4 linked regions of the Macaca fascicularis genome follow. The protein of the gene in region 1 purifies or fractionates together with the protein of each later gene. This does not show direct contact. Links are inferred from orthologs where the notes say so. Each region holds a gene or a part of one and is shown on either strand. Other genes may lie near its edges.

Region 1 (3,520 bases):
AAGGGAACAGAGAAAATATTTGGAGAAATCATGACCAAAATTTCCCCCAAATTAATAAAAACTAAAAACCCAGATCTAAGATGCTTTAAAAACCCCAAGCAAAGGAACACTCGGAAACTACACCTAGGCACATTGCAGTCAAATTGTTAGAACTAGCGATAAAATCTTAAAAACAGCCAAATAAAAATGACACATTATGTACACAGGAACAAACGTAAGAATGACAGCAGCTTTCTCACCAGAAACAATGCAAGAAAGAAGACAGACACTGGAGCAACATCTTAAAAGTACTGAAAGAAGGTTGATGTGGTGGCTAACGCCTATAATCCCAACACTCTGGGAGGCCAAGGCAGGTGGATCACTTGAAGCCAGGAGCTCGAGACCAGCCTGGGCAACATGGCAAAACCCCATCCCTACAAAAATATAAAAATTAGCTGGATGTGGTGGCATGCACACGTAATCCCAGCTACTCAGGAGGCTGAAGCAGAATCGCTTGAACCCAGGAGGTGGAGATTGCAGTGAGCCAAGATCACACCACTGCACTCCAGCCTGGGTGACATAGCGAGACTCCATTTCAAAAAGAAAAAAAAAAAGTATTGAAAGAAAAAAAATTGTCAACCTAGAATCCTATACCTGGCAACGATCTTTCAAAAATGAAGGCCAAATAAAGAATTTTTAAGACTACCCAAGCTGAACGAATTCAAAACCAGCAGACCCACAATATAAGAAATGTTTGTTTTGTAGAAATGGGGTCTCACTATGTTGCCCAGGCTGGTCTCAAAATTCCTGGACTCTAGCAATCTACCACCTCAGCCTTCTCCCAAAGTGCTGAGATGACAGGCGTAAGCCACCATGACCCCTAAAGAAACATTAAAGGAAGCCCTTCAGGCAGAGGAAAAATGATATCAGATAGAAACCTGTATCTACACAAAGAAATGAAAGAAACAAAAATGGTAACTACATGGCTTCATGCATGATTCTTATTGAAACCTCCCTAAAAGATAACTGACCATTTAAACAAAAATAATAACTATACAGTACAGGATTTATAACATGTAAATACATGATAACACAGTGCAAAGTTGGGCGGAGAGCGAAGTACACTATCGCGGCTCTTAATGCCATCTGGAAGCAGTGTGACATCAAGAGAAGCTAGATCCTGATATAGACATGATCTACGATAAACCCCAGAGCACCCACTAAAATAACAAAGCAAAAACTTAACAGCTAATTAACCAACACTGGAGATAAAATGGAATCATAGAAATTGTTCAAGTAATCCAAAAGAAGGTATAAAAACAGGAAAAAGGGAACAAAGAGCAGAATGGATAAAGAGAGGGTCATTTCATGATAAAGGGGTCAATTCATGAAGACCTAACAACACCACACATTCAAGTACCTAAAAATGGAGCTTCAAAATACTAGCGCATCCCTGTGTCAGGGCCTTTGCACTTGCTTGCACTTACTGTTACTTCTGATCCAGATGATCCTGTGGCTGGCGCTTTTCCATTCGCGTCTCAGTTCAAGCACCACCTCCCCAATGAGGCCTTCCCAAAGGCCTCCCTGCCCCCCCATCCCATTACCCAGTTTCCTCTGCTTGAGCATCCTTATCTACATCTGAAAGTATCTTGTTCTCTGATTACCAGTTTACCTCAACTGCTGACTCCTCCCTGCCTGGAGTATCGCCTGGCAGAGTTGGTTCAATAATTTTTTAAAAAGGGATGGGGGAGAAAGGAACAACAGTCAGCCAGTCAGCCAACGGGAAGTGAAGCCCTGTCTGGCACCCTCACCCATCCATCGCCTCCTCGATCTTCTTCTTCCTCAGCTCAATGAGTTCAGGGGTCTCCATTCCAGCAGGCACTGATGAGAAGCCTCCAGGAGTGATGAGGCCACTGTGAAGAGAGGAACAAGCTCTGGAGTAAAGAGAAGGCCCCCAAAGATAAGCCATTTCCAAGAGGCACTCTCTGCTTCCCCCACCTGTCTGCAGGGGTAATAAAGCCTGTCTCATCTGGTTTGTCTTCATCACTTTCTTCCTCTTCCTCTTCTTCTGAGGATTCTTCATCAGATGGTTCCAGTTCCCCCCAAGGGGTCCGATCAATCTCTTCCTCCTCAGTCTTGGTCTGAAAGAAATCACTTAATCAGTCAACAAATGTTTTCTAAGTACCTGTTATGTACCAGGCTGTTTTAAGCTGAAGGGGTGTTAAGAGTCAACACACAGACAATAATCCCTACCTACCTAGAGCTCAAATTCCAGTGAGGGGCTTGCGTTAACATCTCGGGAAAATGTTTGCCCTTTTCCAGGCTCTGCTGTGTCAGAACACGCAACTCCCTGATAATGAAGCTATAAACCAACAATCTCTAACCTTCATGATGTTAAGTAAAACCAAGATCGCCAGTACATAGCCCATACCTGAAATTCAGCAGCATTGGTTCCAAACACATCCCCATAGAGCGGTTTCCCAGTCTCATCCACCGGAGGTTTGCCCCAGCCACCAGCATGGTACCCAAAGGAACAGCTCTGCAAGGCAGTGAGCACAATCAGTTCACTCCTTAGCTGCAAAAGAAATTCTGAAGCCCTAGAGAAAAGGCACACTCAAAAGTACAGAGCTGACACTTGGGAACTCCGGAAATTATGACTGCAGAATAAAATTAAATGTTATGAAGCATTAGAAACCAAAATTAATAAACAACTAAAATCTGGAGGCAACAGGATAAGGAGACAGGAGGCAGAAAGTATGCTAATAACCTCTTCTGTCATGGCAGAGTCTCTGCTGTCTGAAACCAAAATACGTACGTTGAAAACATGACTTCAATTTCTTACTGAGTTTTCCTAACTTTGGAAGGCTAGCTTGTTCAGAATCTATTTATCTTAAGGGGCGGAAGTTTCTATCTAAAGTTTAACAATACTACTTTTTTACTTTAATGACTCTTATCTGTCAATTTTTTTAATGATTACTTTAAAATAAGAATAAATTTGAAGACATTCTTGAGATAAAATTATTTCTGATAGATTGAAGTGAAACTAAAAAAAAAAAATTATTTCTTTTCTTTTTTTTTTTTTTAAAGTAGAGATGCGGTTTCACTATGTTGCCCAGGCTAGTCTTAAACTCCTGGCCCCAAGGGATCCTCCCACCTCAGCCTCCCAAAGTGCTGGGATTACAGGTGTTGAGACACCACATCTGGCTAAGATAAAATTATTTCTCTCTGGCCATTCTTATATTCAGAGACATATCTGGAAACACATTCACCAAATAGTGAATTTGGCTATTTCTGAGTGGTAAAATTGTGACTTGCTTTCATCTTTGTACTTGTCAATTCTGACTGAATATTTTATGATGAGCATGTCAGTTTTTTAAAAAACAAAAACCATTTACTTGTTTTTTCCACACATACCCATGGTATATGACAAATATTATGTGTCAATAAAAATTTTTTTAAATAAAGAAACACATGGTGGAGTTAGAGAAGGAAAACAAAAAAATCACCTTCCAGTTCAAAAGCAGAAACAGCCAAGAATGAA
Region 2 (3,520 bases), on another chromosome or scaffold:
ACATTTCTGGTCCTAAGAATTTTGGATAAAGGAAACTCAACCATAATGCAATAGTTCTAAAACATAATAGAACGTATCCTTAACAGAAGACTTACTAAAAAACAGAAAACATTCTGTGCATGTAAATGCTATACATTTTGAGATGTGAACGTTCAAATACAAGAAAAATGTTATAGTTAACAGTTACTCTAGGCCGGGCGCGGTGGCTCAAGCCTGTAATCCCAGCACTTTGGGAGGCCGAGACGGGCGGATCACGAGGTCAGGAGATCGAGACCATCCTGGCTAACACGGTGAAACCCCGTCTCTACTAAAAAATACAAAAAACTAGCCGGGCGAGGTGGCGGGTGCCTGTAGTCCCAGCTACTCGGGAGGCTGAGGCAGGAGAATGGCGTAAACCCAGGAGGCGGAGCTTGCAGTGAGCTGAGATCCGGCCACTGCACTCCAGCCTGGGCGACAGAGCGAGACTCCGTCTCAAAAAAAAAACAGTTACTCTAATGGAAACCAGAGTGAGGTAACTTTTTTTTTTTCTTTGGAGATAGAGTTTTTGCTCTGTTGCCCAGGCTGGAATGCAATGGTAAGATCTCCGCTCACAGCAACCTCCACCTCCTGGATTCAAGCGATTCTCCTGCCTCAGCCTCCTAAGTAGCTGAGATTACAGGTACCTGCCACCAGGTCAGGCTAATTTTTGTATTTTTAGCAGAGCTAATTTTTGTATTTTCACGTCAGCCAGGCTGGTCTCAAACTCTTGACCTCAGGTGATCCACCAGCCTCGGCCTCCCAAAGTGCTGGGATTACAGGCATGAGCCACTGTGCCTGGCCAAGGTAACTTTTTAAATCTTGTGAAAACTTCAATATACATAGTTCGAAATTCCTCAGATTTTTCTTTCTCAATTCCAGTTGCCTTCAGCTGGGCCTCTAAAGGTAAGTGAAGGAGAAACAAACTCTGAGATGCCTAGGAGAGCTGCTTTTTCACAGGTTCTCTATGCCACTGGTTAACATAATTTAGACAAGCCCCTAAGAAAGTGCAAAAATAATGTTCTTCTGTTCAAAATAATAAATCCAACTTTTACTGTTGCCTTAATTTAGAATCATCACAACTCCGTTAAGAAGGAGACTGCAGAATTCCTACAAGGAATTCTCAGAAAATAACTATAAAGTGACCTGACACTGTAAGCCGCTACTGCACAGAGCATGGAAACTGGCACACTAAGCAAAGTGGAGAAGGAAGGAGAAGCCATCAGGGGAAGTGAAAGGGATGTGAGATGAGCAGAGGACAGCAGAGGACAAGAGGGAAGCTGGGGATGACGGCCTTGTACCTTGGTGAAGGTGGTGGAGCCAGAGGCCATGAGAATTTGACGCACACGGTTGTGGAAGCGCTGCATTGACTCATCATCCACACGCAGGAAACACTGAGCTGTGCGCTCCTTAGTAACCTAAACCACAAAGTCAAGGTTACTTTGTCTGAGGAACTCCCATAGAAGCAAGAGCCAACTGTGTTCACCACTAAGCCTTTCCACCCAACAAGGCTCCGGTGACTGACAAGGACAAGGGATGCCCGTGGTTCCTGGCTCCCACTCACCCAGCAAGTGCAGGCGCACTCATGTCACTCCCAGCCCCTCCCAGGCTGTACCTCATTCTGCAGGTTCCAGACCCCGTCCTTGTGGGTGAACTCCTCATAGCTGGTGCGACACTTAGGCAGGATGCGGCACTCGAAGCCACACATGTTGAATAGCAGGTTGGGGTTGTCCTTACTGTACACAGACACGAAGCTGTTCTCCCACTGAACTGTAGTCACTGACCGTGGCAAGCGGTTCTTGATGTCCCAGAATACTGCCCGGCCTCTGCCCACAGAGAACCATATGGTCACATCAGTTTCTTGGAAGGAACTTCCCTTCAAAGGCCAACTGATGATATCCTGCCACAGCCACACGTCTCCCACCCAGGACACAGCCTCAGGTATGCCCTCTCTGGGCCCTTAGCCTATGTCCTTCCAGCTCACACAGCCCCAACCTGGACTCACAAGTTAACATCATGTTTCATGAGGCGCATGCGGGCATCTCGGGGCCAGCACTTCTTGTTATTATAGCCAACGATGTTTTCATTGTTGGGGTCAGGGTGCTCTGTCAGGTAACGTTGAATCAGGTCCCGAGCTTCATCTGCTGTGAACCTACACCAGACCAAGTACACTGCTGAGGCCCTAATACACTTGAGATCTGGGACCCCAAGGGTCCTCCAGCTCCACAGACGGAGACCCCACCCCATCCTACCCCCACCCTCTCCGGGCTTCGTTCCATTTTAAAGCCCCAACAGCAGTTAAGCCAACTCAGCTACAATAGCTGATTTCAGAGGCAAAGCATATGCCTCAGTACCCTGCAAGGCTAGGAATCCAGGTAAGCCCTCACCTGAAAAAAATATGGATGCGATCAATGTATCTGCAGAAGAGACGGATGGGGTGGGCAGCCTCAGTGGCTATGTCCTGAAAACTGAGAAAGTCGTTTGGCATCTGAGGGGGCCCAGCCATCTCACTGGCTCGGTGCAATCCCAATACAAGCAAGTCCATCACCAGGCCATAATACTGCACGATGAACGAGGCAAACTGCAGGCCTCTGATAATCCCGTATGAATTCGTATGGTTCATGTCCTAGAAAGAAAGAACGACAATTTTTTTTTTTTTTTTTTTTTTTTTTTGACGCGGAGTCTTGCTCTGTGCCCCAGGCTGGAGTGCAGTGGTGCGATCTCGGCTCACTGCAAGCTCCGCTCCCCCGGGTTCACGCCATTCTCCTGCCTCAGCCTCCCGAGTAGCTGGGACTACAGGCGCCCGCCACCTCGCCCAGCTAATTTTCTTGTATTTTTAGTAGAGACGGGGTTTCACCGTGTTAGCCAGGATGGTCTCGATCTCCTGACCTCATGATCCGCCCGTCTCGGCCTCCCAAAGTGCTGGGATTACAGGCTTGAGCCACCGCGCCCGGCCAAGAACGACAATTCTTAACAACCTGAGCCATGTCCCAGGATTCTCCAGGGTCAACCTCTTTTGTTCTCCCCTTGGCAAATTCTATTCCCCCGGCTCCCCTCCAAGGTGGAGTTATGCTCAGTCCCTCAGGCTGGAGTGCAGTGGCGCAATCTCAGCTCACTGCAACCTCCGCCTCCTGGGTTCAAGTGATTCTCCCGCCTCAGTCTCCCGAGTAGCTGGGATTACAGGCACCCACCACACTCAACTAATTTTTGTATTTTTTTTAAGTAGAAACAGGGTTTCACCATGTTGGCCAGACTGGTCTCCACCTTCTGACCTTGTGATCCAACCGCCTCAGCCTCCCAAAGTGCTGGGATTACAGGCGTGAACCATTGCACTCGGCCTCCCCCGCAGCAAATTTTGAGTCAGTGGGCCAGACAACCATTCCACACACAACTTCGTGCTACTGTGCCTGAGACATACCTTATAGTTGATGACGACATTGTTCTTGGCTGTCATGTAGTCAGCTATGTTGTGGTCCACGATGAGGCGCAGCAGCCTATTGAGCAG
Region 3 (2,409 bases), on another chromosome or scaffold:
CAAACAGCAACAGGATAAAGAAACAGAGTAAGCAGAGTTTTAAGATTAAAAAGGTTGGTACTCCTAGTGGCCTTTCACATCAGGTCTCATTTTGACTAGGTCTGTCTAGCTTTCCTAGCCCACTGTAATGTGGTCCATTCCACCCACCTAAGCACTTCTGCTAATCTCCAGTGGGCCCATCCATTCCATTTTGGTAGTCCTGATCTTCACTGTCTCCTAGGAGCCATTATCCCAATCAGAATACCCTTCCCTGCAAATCTCACCTCTTCCTTTCAAAGCGCAGTCCACATCTGCTATTGCTCACAAGGCAGTCTCTATGTTTTCACTGATCTAATTCTTGTCTCAACTCCTGAACTTAGTCAATACTACCCAGTCTAGTAACTGAATACCCTTTAGTTATTTTTGTGTTTCTTCAACTGAACACACCACTGAGTACAGAGCATGCTTCCTGTAATCCAAGTGCTCTCCGTACAGTGCAGTGCATGTGAAAGGCACTAAATACTCACCAAATGACTGAAACCAAAGGCACGTCTAAGGAACTAAACTACTGAGCACACTAGTTCAAGGTCTTCAGTCACCATACTGATTCTCAATCATGAAACATTCCTGTTTCTTCACCAAATAAAACTCCAAGTCATTCTTGTCTTTATGTTTAAAACTGTAATAATTGAGCAAGAGAAGCCCAAATAAACAATGCCTGTCACCTTCTGCAGTAAGAATATGTTACTTGTAGCATACCCTGTCCTGTATGTAGAAAATGTTTTGTAATCTGCCAATAACAACTTGTGTTATAAACATCAAAAGAAAACACTCTTACTTCAAATATCACACATTTTCCAACTTTGCCATATTTTTCACATTCTTCCTTGGTTTCAACTTCCAAGTCTTCATCCACCTCTCCCGCACCAACCATGTTCTTTAAACACAAAAATAAATAAATTCAAGTACCAAGTATAACTTACAAACACCTAGCAGGGATATATAAATATGACTTACTTTAGTGATGGTAAATGTTCTCAATCCCAAATGACACAATGAAAAATTTCATCCCCAAAGTACCCAAAAGTTAGTATTTCTTAAAACACTAAAACATACATTAAGCCTGTAAAGAGTTACAAAAGCACCTATGTAAGCACCAAAATGTATAAACTAGCTGAAGCTCTTGCAATTTCAAATATTGAAAGTAATTACTCACTGCAGTCTTAAACACTGTACTTAGCAGAGACTTACACATTAGTGAAAAATCTAAAATCAGCCTTACGTGGGATCTGCCCAAAGTATTATTTGCAAAAGGATCATTTTCAGTTTTAACTTTTAGGGGGAGCAGGGTAGGTTGGGGTGACACACACAAATCTAGGCAGGCCGACAGCTTGCTTTCCTCAGCTTCTTACCCTTAGTAGGACCACTTTAGTAGGACACTTAAGTATTTCAGTCAGTGGATTTGAATCTGACTTCTTGGATGCATCTGTATCAAAACATATCATTAGATGTGTTACAGAACTGAGTCCTACTTATAATAATTTAATTTAATTTCAATAGCGATCCCCACCATTTATGTCCTAAGCATCTACACAATTGGTCTTTAAGCAAAAACACAGCCTTATCTGCAACAAAAGCCTCTGCTTTGCTTTGGCATGTTTTTACAATAGCATCTGGATGTTTTGAGCCTCCATCATTACCTGCAATTTTTGCTCATCTCACTTCCCCAAGGGCTGACAGGGCATGTGAGTGATAATTCCTATAGGTGAGTTGACTGGTAGCAAACGTTCAAAGTCACGGGCCCAGGGGAATATGCAGTTACTATTCCAGCCACCGGCTGCCTTACTTCAGATAACCTCACAAGTCGGGACGACTGCTGGTTTCCGGCACTCACCTGTCGGGCTCGTGATGTATCCTAAGCTCTGCAAGAACAGGGCTGCCAGAAAAGTTTTCTTCTTTCTTTAGCAAAGGAAGTTCAGCTAGGCTGACTCAAACTTAATTTCCCTGATTAAAATGCTAATATATGTTTCTTTCCTGAATTCCCTCAATACAGAACAGACTGTAAAAATTAAATGAAAATAAAACACCAACTAGGCATCATTTACCAAGAGACTGCAAAATAACATTAGATCTCGCAAAGCAAACAATCTGTAAGAGAATTAGAAACCACATCTATACTGAAAGGGCAAGAGGGAAAAGTAGAGAAGACCTCTGAGATGGAGATGGCAGGTATATTCACTGCCACACTATATGGCTCTGTCCTTCATGCTCTAAACACATAACCAAGATTTCTTCCTGAGAACTATTCATTTTCTGCCCAAGTCTCTCACCATCTTTTCCTCCACGAGCCTTCATCTCTCTACCTCTGTTCTGAAAAAATAAAGATGAGCCTCAGGATTCCTGGCTTCACAAAACAGAAGTGGCAGTGCA
Region 4 (3,520 bases), on another chromosome or scaffold:
TGACCTTCAACATTTCAGCACCCTTCAGCTTGTTACATATTTATTCTTGAAACCCATCACTACATCACCATTATGTTTTACACTATGTATGTAACAAATGTTACCACTTTGTTCTTTATTCCTTTTTGGATCATCTTCAGTGGGGGTAAAACAGTATCAAGCTCTAGAGCTCCCTCTGGTGGTTTTTGTGACTTATTTGAAGATGCCAGCTTGCTTTTTGAGAATTTCTGGCTCTGCTCTCCCTGTTTTTATCTGTATTTTTTTCTCATTGTGACTCTTGCACACACACACACCCCTCCCCCGCCATCTACCCAATTTGCGTCTGTTCCAGAAGTTTCTCTTCAGGGCAGGGCCGTGTTGGGACATGATTTCTAATAAGAGGGAGGCCCACGGCCGGGCCTGGTGGTTCACACCTGTAATCCCAGCACTTTGGGAGGCCAAGGCGGGCAGATCACCAGGTCAGGAGATCGAGACCATCCTGGCTAACATGGTGAAATCCCCTTGTCAGACCTCTGAGCCCAAGCCAAGCCATTGCATCCCCTGTGACTTGCACATAGACACCCAGATGGCCTGAAGTAACTGAAGAATCAGTGCAAAAGAAGTGCAAATGCCCTGCCCCGCCTTAACTGATGACATTCCACCACAAAAGAAGTAAAAATGGCTGGTCCTTGCCTTAAGCGATGACATTATCTTGTGAAATTCCTTTTCCTGCCTCATCCTGGCTCAAAAAGCTCCCCCACTGAGCACCTTGTGACCCCTACTCCTGCCCGCCAGAAACAACCCCCCTTTGACTGTAATTTTCCTTTACCTACCCAAACCCTATAAAACGGCCCCACCCTTATCTCCCTCTGCTGACTGTCTTTTCAGACTCAGCCTGCCTGCACCCAGGTGATTAAAAAGCTTTATTGCTCACACAAAGCCTGTTTGGTGGTCTCTTCATGCATGACACCCGTCTCTACTAAAAATACAAAACAAAATTAGCCGGGCGTGGTGGCAGGCTCCTGTAGTCCCAGCTACTCAGGGGGCTGAGGCAGGAGAATGGTGTGAACCCGGGAGGCAGAGCTTGCAGTGAGCCGAGATTGTGCCACTGCACTCCAGCCTGGGCGATAGACCAAGACTCCGTCTCACAAAAAAGAAAAGAAAGAAATTATTTAAACATTTGTGATGTGCTAGTATTGGGCTTGGTGCTAGAGAGTAAAAGTTAAGTAAATAAATAAAAGACAACTTGCTTCAAAAGCACTCTCCCTTTCCAAATCTCAAAATAGCATGTAGTATTCGTGTTCTTACCTGTGGCCATTACTTTACAGGGTGATCTGGACCCTCTGGCATCTCTCAAATCACTGACTTACCTAAGGTATGGGAATTACATATTGTGACAAAATGAATGAAGTCCTTTAAAATAACATTACTTTTACCAGCCTTGACCTTAATGTAATCAGTTAATTAAAAGTGCCTTTTACAAAGAAATATTGAATATATTTCCTTAATGGTAAATTGTTACAATGTTGAAATGTGAAGAATTGTGAATGTTCCCTTGATTTATAGGTTCCTTAGACTATTCAAACAGACCTTTTGAGTGCTGTGCCATGAACAAGTTTGCCATTGTGTTACTTTTTTTCTTGTAGTATTCTAAGAAATCCGGTAACCAATAAGAAGCATTACAGATTGTATGTGATTTATAAAGTTCCGCAAGTCAGAGTACTGGATTTCCAGAAAGTGAAACTAAAAGTAAGTCGTAATCTGTTGCTTGTGAGTCATTATAGAGTTGTGTGTTTTTCTTTATATTTTTATCACTGATTATTAAAATTGTCTAAATAAGTAAATTTTACCATTAGTTTGTAATGAAAGTGGGGGGGAAATGTTACGTCAAATTTTTTTCTAATAGCAGAGTTTATGATAGAACTTTAAGTTAAAGCTCTTTTATGTAATGCTGGCCATTCCAAAGTTTGCAAAATGTTGAGGCCACAGTGAACACTCTGGATTGTCTGCTTAGATACATTCCTAGTGGAGAACTTAATGTAACCCACTTTTGTGCAGCTCTGTTTGTTAGGAAGGTTTTTCCCTTTATTAGGAGTTCATTATTTTATTATTTATATAATTGCCTTCTTAGTTCCCTGGGATCCCCTCCTTGGAACTAGGAGAGTGAACTTTCTTCAGGGAGCTTTACCAAAGAAAGAAGACCACTGTGTCTTCTCTTAATTTGAAATTGGCTTTTTGGTATTTTCACCAGCCTGGAGTATTGTAGGAGAGTTCGCTTCCATGTCTTCTGAGGAATGCATCTAAATGCATGTGGTATTCCTATTTCCATTAACTCTGTGTGTGGTGTCGCTGTAGGAGCGTCAGGAAGCAGAGAAAATGTTCAAGGGCAAACGGGGTGCACAGCTTGCAAAGGATATTGCCAGGAGAAGCAAAACGTAAGACACGGATATCCAACTTAACTCTACTTCACCTTCAGAAACATGATCTGATCTGTCTGGCAGTTCGTCTCCTACAAAATTAACCAAAAACTCTGACATATTAATGTGGTATTAAATTTGAGTGCTTATAGTCCATGTACATCAATGGTCCATACATCACAAGAAATTTCTACCAGGTTAGCAGAGCAAATATTTCAGTAGTCAGTCTCAATGTGATACCATGTACATCCTATTTTCCATATAGAAAGATGAACTGGATGGTGTTTCTGAAGGAGAGAGTTCTTGTATCAGTTTGTTAACAAAGATAAGATACTACACTGGTTGAATTACTTTCAAAAGCTTTTGAAAGTAAAAGAGAAGCAACTTCTGTTGGTCTAGGTTTAACAGTTATGTTCTTCCCCCTCTTAAGTTTTAATCCAGGTGCTGGTTTGCCAACTGACAAAAAGAAAGGTGGGCCATCTCCAGGGGATGTAGAAGCAATCAAGGTAATCATGTGTTAGGCTTCTTGACTGGAACGAGCTAAGATGGGTTCAGAACACAAAGTTGGATAATAAACATGTTCTGAACATTGCAGATTTTTTTTTCCCACAGTTATTAGCATATAACAATATTTCTGTTTAAGGAAAAACTAGCATAAAGTTATTATTTGATCAGACTTAAAATTACACAAGCTGATTAATGTAGAGGCAGCTTTGTCTTTCTCATTTTCCAGGGTGCATTTATCACTTTGAACAGTTAGTTACCTTGGTATGCTGTCTCAGTGTTTGCCTTAATTTTTACTTTCAAAGATTTGCTGTCTGGCAAATCCTTTTGGCTGATCAGTAGGGACCCTAGTTTTATAATATTGCCTCCTTAAATTATTCAGTAATTTAATTCCAAATAGTTACTTCACTTAACTATGATTTTAGGACATGTGGAGTGATTATTTACTCTTTTATAAGAAGGCCTGCATCTCTTCACCAATTTTAGAAATTTGTGTTTTGGCTTCTAGTTTTATTTTTGTGGGCCAATAACATTCTTCCCCCAACACCGAAGTGTTTAATATTCCAAATGGAGAAGTTGCTGTGAATTTCTGTAGGTGATTGATACTTAGTTTTCTGGGT

What was found. The genes of interacting proteins can lie anywhere in the genome.
Region 2: the proteins of SF3B2 (region 1) and PRPF8 purify together in Homo sapiens (affinity purification with mass spectrometry; 3 studies listed by BioGRID and IntAct, with this or other methods). This does not show direct contact. The link is inferred for Macaca fascicularis from reciprocal best matches to the Homo sapiens genes SF3B2 and PRPF8.
Region 3: the proteins of SF3B2 (region 1) and RBM17 purify together in Homo sapiens (co-immunoprecipitation; 4 studies listed by BioGRID and IntAct, counting the BioPlex papers as one, with this or other methods). This does not show direct contact. The link is inferred for Macaca fascicularis from reciprocal best matches to the Homo sapiens genes SF3B2 and RBM17.
Region 4: the proteins of SF3B2 (region 1) and SNRPA1 purify together in Homo sapiens (affinity purification with mass spectrometry; 5 studies listed by BioGRID and IntAct, counting the BioPlex papers as one, with this or other methods). This does not show direct contact. The link is inferred for Macaca fascicularis from reciprocal best matches to the Homo sapiens genes SF3B2 and SNRPA1.

What each region holds. Positions count from the first base shown.
Region 1 is NC_088388.1:8,327,878-8,331,397, forward strand, and holds part of SF3B2 (splicing factor 3B subunit 2), read right to left. Parts: intron 2,519-3,520; coding exon 2,411-2,518; intron 2,121-2,410; coding exon 1,978-2,120; intron 1,893-1,977; coding exon 1,791-1,892; intron 1-1,790. UniProt on the Homo sapiens protein: Component of the 17S U2 SnRNP complex of the spliceosome, a large ribonucleoprotein complex that removes introns from transcribed pre-mRNAs.
Region 2 is NC_088390.1:1,796,439-1,799,958, forward strand, and holds part of PRPF8 (pre-mRNA-processing-splicing factor 8), read right to left. Parts: coding exon 3,434-3,520; intron 2,642-3,433; coding exon 2,403-2,641; intron 2,168-2,402; coding exon 2,021-2,167; intron 1,842-2,020; coding exon 1,631-1,841; intron 1,434-1,630; coding exon 1,317-1,433; intron 1-1,316. UniProt on the Homo sapiens protein: Plays a role in pre-mRNA splicing as core component of precatalytic, catalytic and postcatalytic spliceosomal complexes, both of the predominant U2-type spliceosome and the minor U12-type spliceosome.
Region 3 is NC_088383.1:7,062,530-7,064,938, reverse strand, and holds part of RBM17 (splicing factor 45), read right to left. Parts: intron 1,466-2,409; coding exon 1,392-1,465; intron 917-1,391; coding exon 818-916; intron 1-817. UniProt on the Homo sapiens protein: Splice factor that binds to the single-stranded 3'AG at the exon/intron border and promotes its utilization in the second catalytic step. Involved in the regulation of alternative splicing and the utilization of cryptic splice sites.
Region 4 is NC_088381.1:86,339,020-86,342,539, reverse strand, and holds part of SNRPA1 (U2 small nuclear ribonucleoprotein A'), read left to right. Parts: intron 1-1,307; coding exon 1,308-1,354; intron 1,355-1,625; coding exon 1,626-1,728; intron 1,729-2,334; coding exon 2,335-2,414; intron 2,415-2,826; coding exon 2,827-2,902; intron 2,903-3,520. UniProt on the Homo sapiens protein: Involved in pre-mRNA splicing as component of the spliceosome. Associated with sn-RNP U2, where it contributes to the binding of stem loop IV of U2 snRNA.